4 linked regions of the Mus musculus genome follow. The protein of the gene in region 2 interacts with the protein of the main gene of each other region in a pairwise test. Links are inferred from orthologs where the notes say so. Each region holds a gene or a part of one and is shown on either strand. Other genes may lie near its edges.

Region 1 (3,929 bases), on a different chromosome or scaffold from region 2:
TTCCTAAAGAAGTGGGAAAGGAAGGGGTTCAAATGGGGCCCCCAAAACACTTAGGGAAGGATACAAACAACTTCTTCGTGTCAGTACAGTGGAACGTTAAAAACACCCCTACTTCCACCAGGCCTCCTGGGAGGGCCGGTGGCTCGGATCTGGTTGTATTCCCTGCACCTGAAACACCTAATCTCTCCTGCATCAGTCCAAATCCACAAAGCTGGCCTCCCTGGGCCTTGCACCACTCCCCCTGTCGGAACTCTGCCTCCTCAAAAGCCCCTCCCAGCTCGGCGGCCACTCACAGGTGGGACGTGGTCATGGTTTTGGCATTTCGAGACTGGGTCACCTGGCAAGCCTTCTTCAACAGGGACTCCAGGAAGAGCTCAAGGGCCCGGGCTGAAGACGTCAAGGAGAATCCAAAAAGGGGAGTGCCGCAGTCCCGCCCCACGCCCCTCAGCCCAACCGGCCCCTAGTAGGATACAGATGATGACAGGCACAGCTGCCGCCACCTTCCCAATCTCTTCGTCCGTCTGCATGATCTTTTTGATCCGCGCCTGCCGAAAGGAAGAGGACAGAGCTCGTCTCTTGCGTCCCTAACACGGGGGACAGAGGGAACCGGGGGTATCCCGGGAGAAGGAGAAGAGGGCGGGGGGCGCTAAGTCAGGAGGGCATGGAAGGGGCGGGGCGTCAGGCCGTGAACACCTAAAGGCACCCGCCCCCCCCACCAGCAGGACCTGGGCCCAAGCCTCCCGGGAGCCCTGCCTGCCGGGGCCCATCCGGGCCACGTGCTCACCGGCGGAAACCGCGCGTTATACTTCTTCTTCTTGCTTGGCATCTCGGGGCCTCTCGTTGCGCCGGGCCCAGCGCCGCCGCCCGCAGCCTCCCGGCCCCGGGCCTGTCCGCCGCCGGCCCGCCGCGGTCCCCCCCCCCACCCTCCCCGGGTCCTGGTGCCGTTTACTCCGCCTACACCACTTCCCGCAGGGTCCTAGTGCCGCCCGTAGACAAGCAGCTCCCCAAACTCGAGCGCTGGGCTTCGGATCCTCTGGGGCGGTGCGCGTCCTTCCCCGGGCTCGCCCGCCACGCCCACCCGCCCCCCAAGCTAAAGTACGAACGTTAGCTCCGCCTCCCGAAGACCTGCACCTCCCGGGATTCTCGCGCCGGCTCCGCCCCTGGACGCTGCCCGCCCCTTCCCCTGGAGCCCCCGCCCCTAGCCTTCTGGTTCCGCCTCTGGCCCCGCCCCGTGACTGTGTTTGTCTATAAAGTTGTTGTTGAGGTGGCGGGACCCTAAGATGGCGGCGGCGGCGGCGGCCGTGGCAGGGGCGGGGCGCGGCGGGGGTGGCGGCGGCGGCGGCGGCGGCGCAGCAGATCCCGGGCAGGAACGGAGCCGGGCCCGAAGTTGGGTTGGCGCGGAACGGAGTGAAGGCCGGAGGTGACTGCGGGGTGGCGAGAGGGACGGCAACCCTTAAGCTGTGGGCACTAATGGCGGCGGATGTGGTAGGGCTGGAGCCTGGTCCTCGCGCAGGCCTGGTCCTATCTGGTTCGAGTCTGGATGGTACCCATTGACCCCCTGATGGGCCGCTGCCCTCTCTGGGGCTCAGAGCCTCGGTGTTTCACGGTGCCCCCAATCGTTCACCGGGGGAGGCCTGGCCCTCTACAGCCATCCTCTGAGGTTGGCGACCCTGCGTTTTGCCTACGTCCATTATATTGCAGCGCCGCGCTACCTTGCAGGACTCTAGTCCGGTGGTGTAGCCGAGCCCCGTGCCAGTTCACACTTAAGCTCTGGCGCTCTTTACGGGCATGACCTTGGGCAAGCCCCTTTTCTTAAGAGTTTCAATTTCCTTGTTTGTAAGCAGTGAAAGTAGTACTAACTATAGCTACTCCACCTCAGGCGTCTTATTCTGGAGACAAATCTAGACAGGATCAGTTGTTACCCATTGTGAAGATGAAGCAACTGAGGCACAGACATTATGTCTTGCCCAGGGCCACAGTTTACTGCAGTGCCTGGCACCCTCCAGGACCCAGCACTTTTTATTTACTGTCTCAAACCTCTGACTCAGTTCCCTCACAACAGGATGGAACCAAATGAGGAGCTGGAAGAGGAAGACTCTCCAGGTGGCCGGGAGGATGGCTTCACTGCTGAGCACCTGGCTGCAGAGGCCATGGCAGCCGATATGGACCCCTGGCTGGTATTTGATGCCCGTACCACACCTGCCACAGAGCTGGATGCCTGGTTGGCCAAGTACCCACCATCTCAAGTTACTCGCTATGGGGACCCAGGTTCACCCAACTCTGAACCTGTGGGCTGGATTGCAGCCTATGGGCAGGGTTACACCCCCAACTCAGGGGATGTACAAGGGCTGCAGGCGGCCTGGGAGGCTCTGCAGACCAGTGGGCGACCCATCACACCAGGTACCCTGCGCCAGCTGGCCATCACCCACCATGTGCTCTCCGGCAAGTGGCTGATTCACCTGTCACCTGGCTTCAAGCTGGACCACGCCTGGGCTGGCATTGCCCGGGCTGTAGTTGAGGGCCGTCTCCAGGTGGCCAAGGTGAGCCCACGGGCCAAAGAGGGTGGGCGCCAGGTCATCTGTGTTTACACGGACGACTTCACGGACCGCTTGGGTGTGCTGGAAGCAGATTCTGCCATTCGTGCTGCAGGCATTAAGTGCTTGCTCACTTACAAACCTGATGTCTACACCTACCTGGGCATCTACCGAGCCAACCGCTGGCACCTTTGCCCCACTCTCTATGAGAGCCGTTTCCAGCTTGGAGGCAATACCCGTGGCTCTCGAGTGCTGGACCGTGCCAACAATGTAGAACTGACCTAATGGGGCCGAGCAGGAGAGACCACCTTTTGCTTGGATCCTTCCTTCTTCTCTTCCTTGTCCCAAGAAGGCTGAGCTCCTTAGCCCTGAGGACTCATTGGCGTGGGAACTGCCTGCACTCAGTCCCTTTGCACTTCTGCTCTCTTTGTGCAGGGCCAACTCCCACCCTCACAGGTTGGGGGCTCTGGCTCTTGGAGGGCGGGGCCCTCGGCGGCCCTCTTTGATGCTGCTCCCCACCACTGCCCAGGACCACAGCTTGGGTGCAGAGACTCGAGGAAGTCTGTCCTGGCCACCTCTGTCCCCACTATACTTAGCCTGCATTCTTCCTTTTCTTTCCTCCCTCAGAAGGGAGAAAACTTAGTGCTTCCAGCCCCTGCCCTTGGCGCCATCATAGTCCAGGTGGCCGGGCCCTTCCAGGACTAAGCATGCTATTGGGACCTGTACATGTTCTGGCCAAGAGGAGACGCAGGGTCATGGACATGGGGTCTGCTCCTCCCTGCAAACTCATAGCCTGCATCACCACCACCCCTTCCCTGGCTACCTTGACATGTGCCTGCTCCTGACATTTCAATAAAACCCAGCTCGGGTCTGTGTCTTGAGTGTTTTTTACAAACACTGTCCTGATGGTTATCTGTGTTGGCTCTCGAGGAAAGATGGGGCCGGAAGAGACAGCTCCAGCCTGAGTGGGCCGCCTTCTCCTCCTCCCTCAGTGGTGAAAGTAGTGTGCTGCTGTGCGGAGGCCAGGCACCATCGCTGAGAACCTCTTCAGAGCTGTTCCCCTCTGTAACCATGGATCAAAATCAGTTTTTTAAGTCTTTCCAGAAAGGCCCAAGGCCTTTTTTGGTATATTCTTTTGGTCCCAAGGTATATTTGTTTTACATTTTATTTTATTAAGAAAGAGTCTCTCTCCCAGCACTTGGGAGGCAGAGGCAGGCGGGTTTCTGAGTTCGAGGCCAGCCTGGTCTACAAAGTGAGTTCCAGGACAGCCAGGGCTACACAGAGAAACCCTGTCTCGAAAAGACAAAAAAAAAAAAAAAAAAAAAAAAAAAAGTCTCTCGATGTAGCCTTGACTGGCCTAGAACTTACTATGTACCTTAGGTTGGCCAGTAACTC
Region 2 (3,511 bases):
TTGCCCTAGGGATATAGCCAGTGATATAAAATGACTCATTTATTCACAGTGTGCCTTTACCAAGAAACAGGAGGAAGAGGCAAGAACTGCTCAAGTTAAAAGGCCAACTAGCCTGGTGTACATAGCCATAAGTAACAAAGAGACTGTCTCAAAAGAGGTAGGAGTTGAGGGCTAGCAAGCACCTGAAGTTGTCCTCTGACCTCTTCCACACATATGCTGTGACATATGCTCACCTGGGCCTACATATAACCACACTCAGACATACTATAGTTATAATACATACATAACCACACTCAGACATACCTCAGCATAGCTATAATACACACATAACTACACTCAGACATACCTCAGCATAGCTATAATACACACATAACTACACTCAGACATACCACAACATAGCTATAATACACACAAAAAACATTTAGTTTCCTTTATCTATACATTAAAATTTTATCTATTCTCTAAATTATTTTCCTGAAATTCTTCCCCTTGTACTTGTACTGGCTAGTTTTATGTCAACTGACACAAACTAGAGTCATCAGAGAGGGAACCTCAATTGAGAAATTCTCCTTGGAAGATCTGGATATAGGAAAACCTGTGGGGCATGTTCTTAATTAGTGACTCACAGGGGAGGGCCAAGTCCATGGTGGGTAGGGCCGCCCCTGGGCTGGTAGTTCTGGGTTCTGTAAGAAAGCAGGCTGAGCAAGCCATGAAGAGCACTCCACTAAACAGCACCCATCCAGGGCCTCTGGATCGGTTCCGGCCTCCAGATTCCTGCCCTCACTGCTCGTTTTCTCTTTTGATTTATTTGTTTTATTTATATCAGTACACAGTTGCTCTTTTCAGACATGCCAAAAAAAAAAAAAAATCATCCCGTTACAGATGATTGTAAACCATCATGTGGTCACTGGGAATTGAACTCAGGACCTATGGAAGAGCATCTGAACCCTCTCTCCCATCCACCCTCACTGCTTCTGATGATGCACTGTTACATGGAACTATGAGGGAAATAACCCTTTTCTCCTCAGGCGACTTTTGGTCATGGTGTTTCATCACAACAACTAACATTAACTAAGACAATGCCGAGACCCAATGTTTTTTTTTTTAATCCTTTGCATTTAGGTGCCCCAAATACTGCAGAATTAAGGATCTGCCGTGTGAACAAGAACTGTGGAAGTGTCAGGGGAGGAGATGAAATATTTCTGCTTTGTGACAAAGTTCAGAAAGGTATTTATCAGCTTTGTTTAATTGAATTAGTAGTACATATTTGATTAATATATGTATTGTACCGTTTCCCCATTGTTATTATTCTTTGGCATCTTATTCACTAGATGATATAGAAGTTCGTTTTGTGTTGAATGACTGGGAAGCCAGAGGTGTTTTTTCACAAGCTGATGTACACCGCCAAGTAGCCATTGTTTTCAAGACTCCTCCGTATTGCAAAGCTATACTGGAGCCTGTGACAGTGAAAATGCAGCTGCGGAGGCCTTCTGACCAGGAAGTTAGTGAGTCTATGGATTTCAGATACCTGCCAGATGAAAAAGGTATGGCAAGTTGGGAGTAATGTGTATACGTGTGTGTGTGTGTGTGTGTGTGTGTGTGTGTGCTCACTAGAAACAGCTATGTAGCTACAGATGGATCTTAGCTGAGTGTGGGGATTACAGCAGTGTGCCTTGTGCTGTCCCTGCTGCCTTTTTAAATGTGCTGCTAGGAATTGGACTTAGACTTTTATGTACACTAGCAAGTGATGAGCTGACCAAGTGACAGTCTCTGCTGAAGGACAGATCGTCTAAAGCTGATCATGCTTGTAATATTGTAAAATAAACATTCGAGTGCAGTTTTATATCTTCAGAATCTGTATTTTTTTTCCCCTAGAAGTTTTCACTTGTGTGTTTTGGTTTGGTTTGGGTTTTTTTTTTTTCTCCTACTCTTTGCATTTCTTAAGAGTTTGAATAATTTTAGAGTTCTTTTTTTTTTTTTTTTTTTTTTTTTGGTTTTCCGAGACAGGGTTTCTCTGTGTAGCCCTGGCTGTCCTGGAACTCACTCTGTAGACCAGGCTGGCCTCGAACTCAGAAATCCACCTGCCTCCCGAGTGCTGTTCTCAAACTGTTAGATTATATTTTCCATCTATATATGTATTTTTGAATTTATTTTCTGTACTTTTTATACCCTTTTATAGGTGGGAAATTTGGTAATCATAAAGTTGTATCTATTTTGGTCCAATGTGTTAGTTCATGTTGACTTACAGTTATTTTTAGGATGAAAAATTATTATTTTAAGCTTTTTAAAATTAAGAGTAAAGTGTCCTTTATAACTGGTACTGGATGTATTGTACAGTAGCATACTTCCAGCCTGTACTGTTCGCATGTATTTTAAGCATTGCCACACTCTGATAAGGCGCTTGTTCCTGGTGCAGGAAGGAAGAATCCCATGACTTACCGCTTTCCCACTTTTCTTTCTTAATCAGATGCATATGGCAATAAATCAAAGAAACAAAAAACAACTCTGATTTTTCAGAAACTGCTGCAAGATTGTGGTAAGAATATTTTGGATTGAGTTATAGTTAAGTAAATGTGTCTTATTTGCTTTATTCTGTTTTTAAATTTTTTAAGTGATAAGCTGTTTTTCAAATTACACTTAATAATAGAAAAACTTATCATACCAGGTCACTTTACTGAGAAACCAAGAACTGCCCCTCTGGGATCAACTGGAGAAGGAAGATTCATCAAAAAAGGTATTTTATCCACTTTTTAGGAATAACTGCTTTTTAAGTCTCTTTCTTTCCTACAATCCCGCACACTCTCACTATTGAGTGCAGCTAGGCTGTACCTCTGCAGGTTGTGTTGGAACTAATTATATTTGAGGGATTTTATTGTTCAAGAAATTACATTTTGTCCACACACTGGTGCTTTTGCTTTTTTTTTTTTTTTTTTTTTTTTTTTTTTGGTTTTTCGAGACAGGGTTTCTTTGTGTAGCCCTGGCTGTCCTAGAACTCACTCTGTAGACCAGGCTGGCCTCAAACTCAGAAATCCGCCTGTCTCTGCCTCCCGAGTGCTGGGATTAAAGGCGTGTGCAACCACTGCCTGGCTCATTGGTGCTTTTACTAATTTGACTGTTACCATGTAAGAAATGGCATGGATGTGGTAGGCACCTGTTTATAGCTGCTTACACTTTGAACAAGGCTGTGGCCCTTGGGGTCATGTACTGTCTCTCAGGGCCACTTTAAAAGGGGTAGGACCACAGGCATGCTGACCACCTGCTGTCATGCCCAGACCTAGAGTCCCCTCTCTCTTCTGCTACAGCAACAGAGCTGGACAGTTCCCACAGAGATTGCTTCCCACATAAACCTTAAAACTGTCTGGCCTTTTAGAGAGGATATTTTGCAATCCCCTAACAAACTCTCTGTCTTGTACCCTTACATTGGTGCTTTATCCTGGTTTCTGTAGGGCTTGTGTAATATGTACATAAATGCGGGCACTGTCCCTCAGTTGTCTGTGGTGGGGAATTTTGT
Region 3 (4,058 bases), on a different chromosome or scaffold from region 2:
CTGGGAAGATTCTGGAAACAAGATCCTCAGGCATGGGCAGCAGATAGGCTCACACAGCTGATGGGCTTTAGGACCCAAGAAATTCGTGAGGCCTGTGGCCTTGGGCGTACTCCTACAGTATCTGGGTTTGGTTGGGTGGCACAAGCCGTCCTTTAAACTCAACACTCGGGAGGCAGAGACTGATCTCTTTAGTTCAAGGCCAGCCTGGTCTGCAGAGTTGAATTCCAGGATAGTCAAGGCCAAACAGAGAAACCCTGTCTTGGAAAATGAAAGGTAAATAAATCTGGGTTTGATTCCCAATACCTGATGGCAGCTTATACATTCTATAACTTTACTCTCAGGGGATCTGGCCTCTGTGGGGACACAGTGATACAAAGACTTATAAGCAGACCAAATACCCAAATGCATAATAACCCTAGCACAAGGATTGGGACCTCCAAGCACGCTCAGCATTCCAAAGGAATATTGTCACCAGGCTTGGGCCCATCCATACCTGTGGATGGTGTGGTGCCCACATCCATTATGCCCATCCTGAACACAGGCAGGAAGCGGAGAGGCCCTAAAGCAATGTGGTACAAGACTACTGTAGGGCTACCTCGTTGATCAAAGTGGTCAAGGCCCCGGGGAACGGAAGCAGGGTACTCCTCCACAGGACGAGACTCCCAGTCAGATGAAGGGGAAGGAGACCAGCCCTAGGGGAAAGACTGGAGGCAGGCCAGGTAGCCTCAGAGACAGCACAGACATGGACATGGAGCACCTTGGAAGTTAGACCTGTTGGTGGTTCTGCAAACATCTTTACTAAACAGTTCCTTCCAGGGTAACAGGACTTAGCCACAGGGCCACAGCCAGGCAATACACCAACATCCCCAATAGCTCAGTTTGAACATAGCACGACAGGCTGCCCGTGGCCAGCAGGAGACAGAGGAGGGCAGGCTCCAGCGGTCACTTCTCTAGGGGTGCATAGTTCAGCAGCTTCTCAATCAGGTCCACGTGTGCTAGCAGCATGCGGCGGCAGCAGTAGCGCTTTAGGCCCAGAGCGTCCAGGGCATCCCTGTAAAGAGAAGAGTGAGGCTGGATGTGGTCTCTAGAGTCTGGATAGGTTTGGAACCACCTCCAGCTTGCCTCTGGGTATTCGTGTGGATAGGGGTTACCAGAGCACATCTACATAATCAGCGATTGAAACCTGACACCAGGCCATAGGGAAATGGCCTGGAGATTTCTGAAATATGTATCTAGATGCTCAGGGAGGAGCCAGGTGACCCTTTCCCCACCTAGAAGTTACACCTGCTCATGTGCCAGTCTTCTCCCATAGCATCCTGTATCCATCCTTAACAGCCTTCTGCCTACACCTGTTTTTTAAAATTTCGTTTTATGTGTATGGGTGCCTGATGCTCCCAAAGCCCAAAGGAGTTACGGACACTTGCGAGATACCATGTTGCTTCAAGGAACGGAACCTGAGTCCTCTTAAAAAACAATCAAACAACCAAACACACAAAACAGCCAGTGCTCTTAACAGTTGAGCCATCTAGCTGGGTGTGGTGGTGCACACCTTTAATCCCAAGCACTTGGGAGGTAGAGGCAGAGGCAGGTGAATTTCTGAGTTCGAGGCCGGCCTGAGCTACAAAGTGAGTTTCAGGACAGCCAGGGCTACACAGAGAAACCCTGTCTTGAAAAACAAAACAACAACAAAAAAAACAGTTGGGCCATCTCTCTAACCCCCTGTATCTCTGCGTTTGTCTCTTGTACCCAGGGTTATGGGCTTCCAGGGTTATTTGGGAAAGCTTAGGAGACCAATATCCCCTCATCAAGGAGTACAATTCCAGGCCCCACAGGTGGACTCTGACTAAACGCCATGAACTGGTTGTTGCTACCCCACAGGCTTTGAACTCACACTAGATTTAATTTCTCTGGGACCTAGACAGCTTGAGAGGTTCCTGCCCAAGTGAAAGAGGGTCCCAGAAGGCTAGCAGCTACTCATCAGAGCTGATCTAATAGCTGCTCATTAAGCCCCACTGACTTATGGCTTGTGCAGAGAAAGAGAACCCCTTGGTGTTGACATGGTGGCCAGAGGTCTATTTTGGGGGACAGTCATAGTAGTGAGCACAAGACGATGCCCACAAAGCCTGTCCTGCATTTTAAAGGGCCCACGAGGTTCGAAGTACATAAGGGGTAGGTCGGAAAGCAGATAGAGGATAGAGAGTAGGTCGACAGGGAAGAGACTTGAGGTGTCACCCACGGGAAGGATGCTTAGAAGTTTCCCAAAGGCCAGCAACTTGAAGAAAACCACCTTCCAAACTTCTGAGAGCCTGGGCGTGATATTGCACGCCTTTAATCCCAACATCCAGGAGACAGGCAGGATTTCGAAGTGTTTCAGACCAGACTGCTTTACATAGAGAATTCAGGTCAGCCACCGAAATCCTGCCTCGAAAACAAACTAAAGACTCACTCTTCTGGGAATACATCACAGGTCTGGGCTGGAGGACATCCAGTCTTCTCACTAGACCCCACAACCCCTGCCCTGCCAATTCTCCATAGGAAATCTTATCTACCCCCGGCCCAGGACACCTCAATTTCACTCCCGGTCCGCCGCAGAACCCTCCCCATTGCCCCTCGACTTCATGCCCCCAGTCCAGCCTTCCCGTCCTGTCCCATCCCCCGCGGCCCGCCGTCTCACCCCTCCGTGTACTCGGCCTGCAGCAGACCCAGGTAGGCTTCCCATTTGTTGCCGACGATCTTCCCGCAGGTGAAGCAGCGCACCGGGATGATCATGGCGGCGTCTGGCGTGCAGGCTGCCGGCAGTAGCTTTTCAAGGCCCGCCCCAGGCGCGCCCATAGCGCGGGGCTCATTACGCCCTAGCTCCGCCCCGTAAGATCCAGAGCCCCGCCCCGCATCTCCCTGAATCCCGCCGCAGCCCTGCCCCGGCTCCCATGATTACCCTGAAGCGGCGGTGTTCCTTGCTCGTGCCCACCCGGGGCTCCGAGAGCCTCCGAGCCCGCGGCAGCATCCCGGTCCCCCCCCTCCCGCTGTGGTGGTAGATCCCGGCGCTACGGCGTCCGAGCAAGGCCGAAAGGTCCGCGGCCGGCGGTTCGCGTTTCTCGTGTTGCCTTGACTGACAGCTGCTCCGCCGTGCGGCGGCGCGCACAGGTACGGCGGTTCTAGCGGGCTGGGGTCCCGCTGGCCGGATCGCAAGCCGACTGGAGCCAAGAGGTGGTTAACAAGTGGTGGTGGCGCAGCCGGAGAGCGGGCTGCCGACTGTCCACGGCCAAGGCGGTCTTCCCGCCTCCTGGCCCGGACTCCAAGGGGTCTCGGTCTGGAGCCCTTACCCGAGGTGCCCAGGCAGAGTCCGGGCCTTGGAGTTTGGGGCGTCCTTCTCTTCGGCCGCTGCAGAACCGTCGGCGGTACGGTGTCCCGAGCCCCGACGGCGGCCTCCCGCGCTCAGTACAGTCCTCTCCTCTGAGAAGGGTCTTTTCCTGGGGAGAGGAGCAGGGCGGTGGTCCGGGAAGGCGTCATGGAGGAGGCACCCTATGAACAGACCTTCTAACCTCTTTTTCCCGGGATATTTGGCTCAGACGCGGAGATTGCGTGCGAGACTGCTAGTGGCCACAGGTCTGCCTCACCTGGACGTGACTTAAGGACTTAAGGGAATGGGCAAGGAGCTGGTTTCTGGGGAGTGTATCACCTTGGCCGCCTTCTTGTGTGTTGGGAGCTACCCTTAGGAAAACGAGGCAGCTTGCAGTGAGAAGCTGGAGAAGTTCGATAGAGCTTGGGAAGTTTGAGATCTGGTTACAGTGAAGGCTCTGGGGGGTCCTAGACATTTTCCAGGTGCCTCTGGGAAACAAACGATGGAGGGGAGGTCGGGAGGGGTCTCCTGGGTCTTGAGTGTGGCTGGTCGGAGCCACTGGCCAGCTTGGTGGTTGTGCCCCCGATGTCACCCTGGACAGCCTCCCTGGCAGCTTTTGCCATCCCCCATGGAGCCACGTGCAGAGCCACGAGCTAGGCGACTTCCCGGTCCTGTCCCCTCCCCCCAACATCCTGCCCTGGCCAGAGGGGGCAGTGGG
Region 4 (4,226 bases), on a different chromosome or scaffold from region 2:
ACAAAATAGTCTTTTCAGTCCCTCTGGGAGCCCTAGATGTGGCAATAGAAAAACCCAGGGCTCAAATTTCTGGAGACGGGGACTGGTAGACAGTCATTTAACAAGGGAGATCAGAAGACCATTCAGGAAGCACCAGGGGCTTATCTGCAGGAGGAGGAAGAAAGAGAGGCTGCGGCCTGTGCAGTAGTGAAGATGGGAGAAGCTTTGGGAACAGTTTAAGGAAAAACCTGCAGAAAAGCAAAGTGGAGGAGTGATTTTTCAGTGGGAGATAGCACCTTCAAAGTTCGACGAGAGAGAGGAGAGCCACAGTACAAGTCAGTTTGAAAAGCACAAATGCTGTCTGGAGATGAGTGCCTATGATCCCAACACTTGGCTCAGGAGGCCAAGGCAGGGGGATTGAGAATTGGAAAGCACCCCTGGTCTGTGTAGTTGTGACCTCATCTCAAAAATAAAATAGCTTAAGACTTTTTTTAGTCCCATGGGAAAAGGTTAGCCAGTTTAAGTGCTGTACAGCAGTAACCAACTTACAGGTAATATCTCTCAGTCATATTCTAAAAATTTTAGAGTGCTTATCACCATATCCTAACAGTCACAGCCAGTCCCCACCCCCATGATTCCACCAAAAAATGAGGCCAACTTACCTTTTCCCGTCGCTTCTCTTCCTCATGCTCTTTATTGCCTCTGGGAACTCCTTTCCTTTCTTCCAGCAGCTCCCTAAACAGGTCCACAGGGCCAGAACTTGGAGCTCCTGGGTCTGCTGCTTCCAGCTCAGGCACTGAGTTTCGTTGCCTGGCTTTCTTCCGTAGGAATTCCGTACGGGCCTATGAAGGGTTATAGGGAAGACATTCAGAACCCAGAAGTGCTGAGGATACAAGAATGGTCCATGGGCAGGGAGGGCAGTGGTAGCACACACCTTTGAACCTAGCATTCAGGAGACAGAGGCACATGGATCTCTGAATTCAAGGCCAGCATGGTCTACAGAGTGAGTTAGTTCCAGGACTACACAGAAAAATCCTGTCTTGAAAAGAGGGGGTGGGGGTGGGGCAAATATTGAGAGCAAGAAGAGATACCATTTCTAACTTGGAGTGGAGAATCGATGTTTTTAGACAGTAAACTGGGCTATCAGAGATAGTTCAGAGAAGATCCCTGACCTAAAACAGAAGGCTTCCCAGTCTCAAGTGATGCAAGGAAAACCCACTCAGGTATAGGTATAGGTGGCTTGTTCAGCCATAGAGCCCCTGCCTTGTGTGTAGTTCCAAATTCAGTCCCCAACACAAGTATGTATATACTCCCAAACTTGTAAGGTAATCAAATATTGCTTTCTGGACAAAGGATCTAAATCCAAGGTATGGCTCCAGGTCACCACTCCAAGTACAACCTGACCCCAGATAGGGATGGTCTCTGATTCACAATTCTCCCCTTTCTGCAGCCTTAGTATCTGGGATTAATTACAAGCGTCACCTTTTTGTTTGTTTGTTTTGTTTTGTTTTGTTTTTTAAGACAGGGTTTTTCTGTGTAGCCCTGGCTGTCCTGGAACTCACTTTGTAGACCAGGCTGGCCTCAGAAATCCACCTGCCTCTGCCTCCCAGGTGCTGGGATCAAAGGCGTGCGCCACCGCCACTACCCGGCTTTTTTTTTTTTTTTTAAGCCCACACTAATTCATGATCAGATTGGCCAAGGGACTTAAGTGTAAACCAAACTAATCGAGTAACTTAGAGTCTGTGATGTGTGTGTGGTCTTCAATACTAGCGTTCAAGTGGAACAGGCAAGCTGAGTTCAAGACCAGCCTGGTCTACGTAGCCAGTTCCATAACAGCCACGGCTACACAGACCCTGTTCCAAATAAAACCTCCAGATGCTCTTTTCTTGGCAAGCAATGAGGGAGGGAGAAAAGACATGCCCAACGAAGTGGACCCCGGCTTGTCCGCCCTTTGCCCTCCTTGCTGAAGCCGTTGTACTCAGAGCAAGGTGACCGCACCCCTCCAAGTTGTTCTAAGAGGGAATTTCTCAAAGCAAGCGCTCAGAAGGAAGGGAGCATACACAGAGTGGGTGATCAGTAATTAACTTGTGCGGGCAACCTATAAAGTAATCAGAATATTTGTCCAACTCTTCCAGTATGCTAGTCTCTGGTCCCTCAACACCAGTGGGGAAATCTAGGAAGGTTTCTTGGAAGTTAGCACAGGATTTTCAGAGAAACATCGTCGAACACACAGACCCGCTCCCGGCACCGAGTGATAGCTAGGCCCGCCGCGCTTCTGGGCGGTCCCCAGGCTTACCTCTTGCTGGGCGAGCAGCACCCTCCGCTCCCGCTCCTTCTCCTCCTCCCGGGCCTGGGCCTCGTCGCGCCGCACGCGGGCAACATTGTCCTTGTTCCGGACGTGCCAGCTCTTCTTCGGCAAGATATTCATGGCTCCAGTGCCGACCTCGGACTGTCAGGCCCACTCTTCAGCACTTCCGATTGGCTCGAGGATGCTCCCGCCCCATGGTTCCACCCTTGCTCGTGCATTGGTTCTGGGCCAATTGTCACGTCCCATCCTAGCCTTGTTTAGAGATTATTGGCTGAGAGCCTTCCATCTCAGCCAATCCTAAGCATTTGTAACCTGAGTTGCTCCACCCCCGGACGCTGCTTGATGAGGCTGTTGCCTGTCTATTCCTTTAAGCAGACATAACCTAGCTCTTCAGGCCGATTTGGACCTGGCCCCTCCCCAAACCCCGTCCGAGGCTTCAGAACGGGGTTTCAAAACGCAAAGCGGCCTTGACTGTTGTTTATTAATACGGTTCAATTGAGAGTGTAGCATTCGGGTGGCAGAGGGCGGGGAATTTGGTTCCAGAGATGAAAGAGTCCCATCACTTGATATGAAGTCACTGAAGCTGAGGGGCTGAAGGTTCAGCCAGACTTATCAGGAAGTTCCATTCCTTGAGCTCAGAGCCACAGCTCGCTGGGCCAGGAAGACTTTATTCTGCACTTCCTGCGGGCAAAAAGGAGCGAAAGTGAAGCACACCTTTTCATTCTTCTTTCATAGTCTCATAGAGCCCTTTCCGGGGAAATCAGCCTGGCTCACCGTCTCTATCTGGCGTTTGAGCTCAGAGATGAGGCGTCCGTAACAGTTAGCCAGGGCTACGGTATACATCATCAGGATGCTATGGAAGACAGGAATGAAAATCACTCTAGAAAAACAATCATCTTCATCATATGGCTCCTTAGAAACCAGGCTGGAGAGATGGCTCGTAACCGGAGCACTGGCTGCACTTCCAAAGGACCGGGGTTCAATTCCCAGCCCCACATGGCAGCTTACAATTGTAACTCAAGTTCGTTACTTCACACAGACAGTCACACTGTCCAAATACCAACACACATAAAAATTAAATGAATAAGTAAATTAAAGAAACCAATATCAGGATCCTCAAATCCCTTAAAACCCTTTTTGAGACTCTGAACACAAGTCTTTATCCTCTCTCTTTAGACCCAAAAGTTCAGACCCTTTAACCAGAGGTTAAACTAGAGGTTCAGGCTCCATACCTCCTCCCCCTTCATCAAATCGATAAATCCACACCCTAGCCCTCCTTTCCTCAGACCAGGAATCCAAACCCAGATGTCTTTTCTTAGACCCTAAGCATTCACACTCCGACTCTCCTGCTCTTGATTTATAGGCATCCCGGCCAGCCCCACGTCTCTGTTGTATATAGGCACCCAGCCCACCTCTCTAGCACTCAGGTGCCCAGAAACTCCTTTCTCTTTCAAACACTAAATTACACACATTCAAAGTCTGACTGCTCACCTAGAGAGGATCAGAAGAGGTACAGTAAAAGCTTGGGTTCCCAGAAAGTAGAGAAAATTCTGGGCAGTCTGAGGGAGGCTCTCAATGGCCTCAGGGATCTGGGCCCAAATGGACAGCTTCCCGCGGAACGGGCCACACAGTTTCGAAGGTGGGATCCTGTAGGGGGAGACACACTGGATTCAGTCAAGTCGAGCTAGAGTGAGAACAAACAGAAGTCTCTCGTACTTACAGGAAGATACTGTAAAGCACGGGAACTGCAGAGATCGCCAGACCCACAAGGAGAACCAGGGGGAAAAAGAAGTTTGCCGTGGATGCTCGGAAGGTGCGGGAAGCCGGTGAGTAGATGGAGAAGAGGGTTATCTGGTAGGGAGAGGCGAGGAAATGGAGGTGTAAGACTCAAGAGTCAATCCTTTGCTTTTCCCTGTTTCTTATCTTGGAGCTTTGGCCT

The links. The genes of interacting proteins can lie anywhere in the genome.
Region 1: the proteins of Rel (region 2) and AI837181 interact in binary tests that used the Homo sapiens proteins (3 or more experiments, as listed by UniProt). The two-hybrid records come from large-scale screens. The link is inferred for Mus musculus from reciprocal best matches to the Homo sapiens genes REL and C11orf68.
Region 3: the proteins of Rel (region 2) and Polr2l interact in binary tests that used the Homo sapiens proteins (3 or more experiments, as listed by UniProt). The two-hybrid records come from large-scale screens. The link is inferred for Mus musculus from reciprocal best matches to the Homo sapiens genes REL and POLR2L.
Region 4: the proteins of Rel (region 2) and Leng1 interact in binary tests that used the Homo sapiens proteins (3 or more experiments, as listed by UniProt). The link is inferred for Mus musculus from reciprocal best matches to the Homo sapiens genes REL and LENG1.

Annotation. Positions count from the first base shown.
Region 1 is NC_000085.6:5,423,889-5,427,817, forward strand, and holds AI837181 (UPF0696 protein C11orf68 homolog), read left to right. Parts: upstream 1-1,255; 5' UTR 1,256-1,280; coding exon 1,281-1,420; intron 1,421-2,048; coding exon of another isoform or gene 2,049-2,062; coding exon 2,063-2,819; 3' UTR 2,820-3,429; downstream 3,430-3,929. Other genes in the region: Drap1 (dr1-associated corepressor), read right to left, coding at 1-3, 294-387, 473-545, 785-826.
Region 2 is NC_000077.6:23,743,462-23,746,972, reverse strand, and holds part of Rel (proto-oncogene c-Rel), read left to right. Parts: intron 1-1,122; coding exon 1,123-1,227; intron 1,228-1,331; coding exon 1,332-1,544; intron 1,545-2,467; coding exon 2,468-2,536; intron 2,537-2,665; coding exon 2,666-2,734; intron 2,735-3,511. UniProt on the Homo sapiens protein: Proto-oncogene that may play a role in differentiation and lymphopoiesis.
Region 3 is NC_000073.6:141,472,354-141,476,411, forward strand, and holds the start of Polr2l (DNA-directed RNA polymerases I, II, and III subunit RPABC5), read right to left. Parts: upstream 2,801-4,058; 5' UTR 2,770-2,800; coding exon 2,675-2,769; intron 1,052-2,674; coding exon 943-1,051; 3' UTR 1-942. UniProt on the Homo sapiens protein: DNA-dependent RNA polymerase catalyzes the transcription of DNA into RNA using the four ribonucleoside triphosphates as substrates.
Region 4 is NC_000073.6:3,663,041-3,667,266, forward strand, and holds the start of Leng1 (leukocyte receptor cluster member 1 homolog), read right to left. Parts: upstream 2,801-4,226; 5' UTR 2,408-2,800; coding exon 2,276-2,407; intron 822-2,275; coding exon 642-821; intron 1-641. Other genes in the region: Tmc4 (transmembrane channel-like protein 4), read right to left, coding at 2,900-2,968, 3,062-3,140, 3,779-3,934, 4,008-4,138.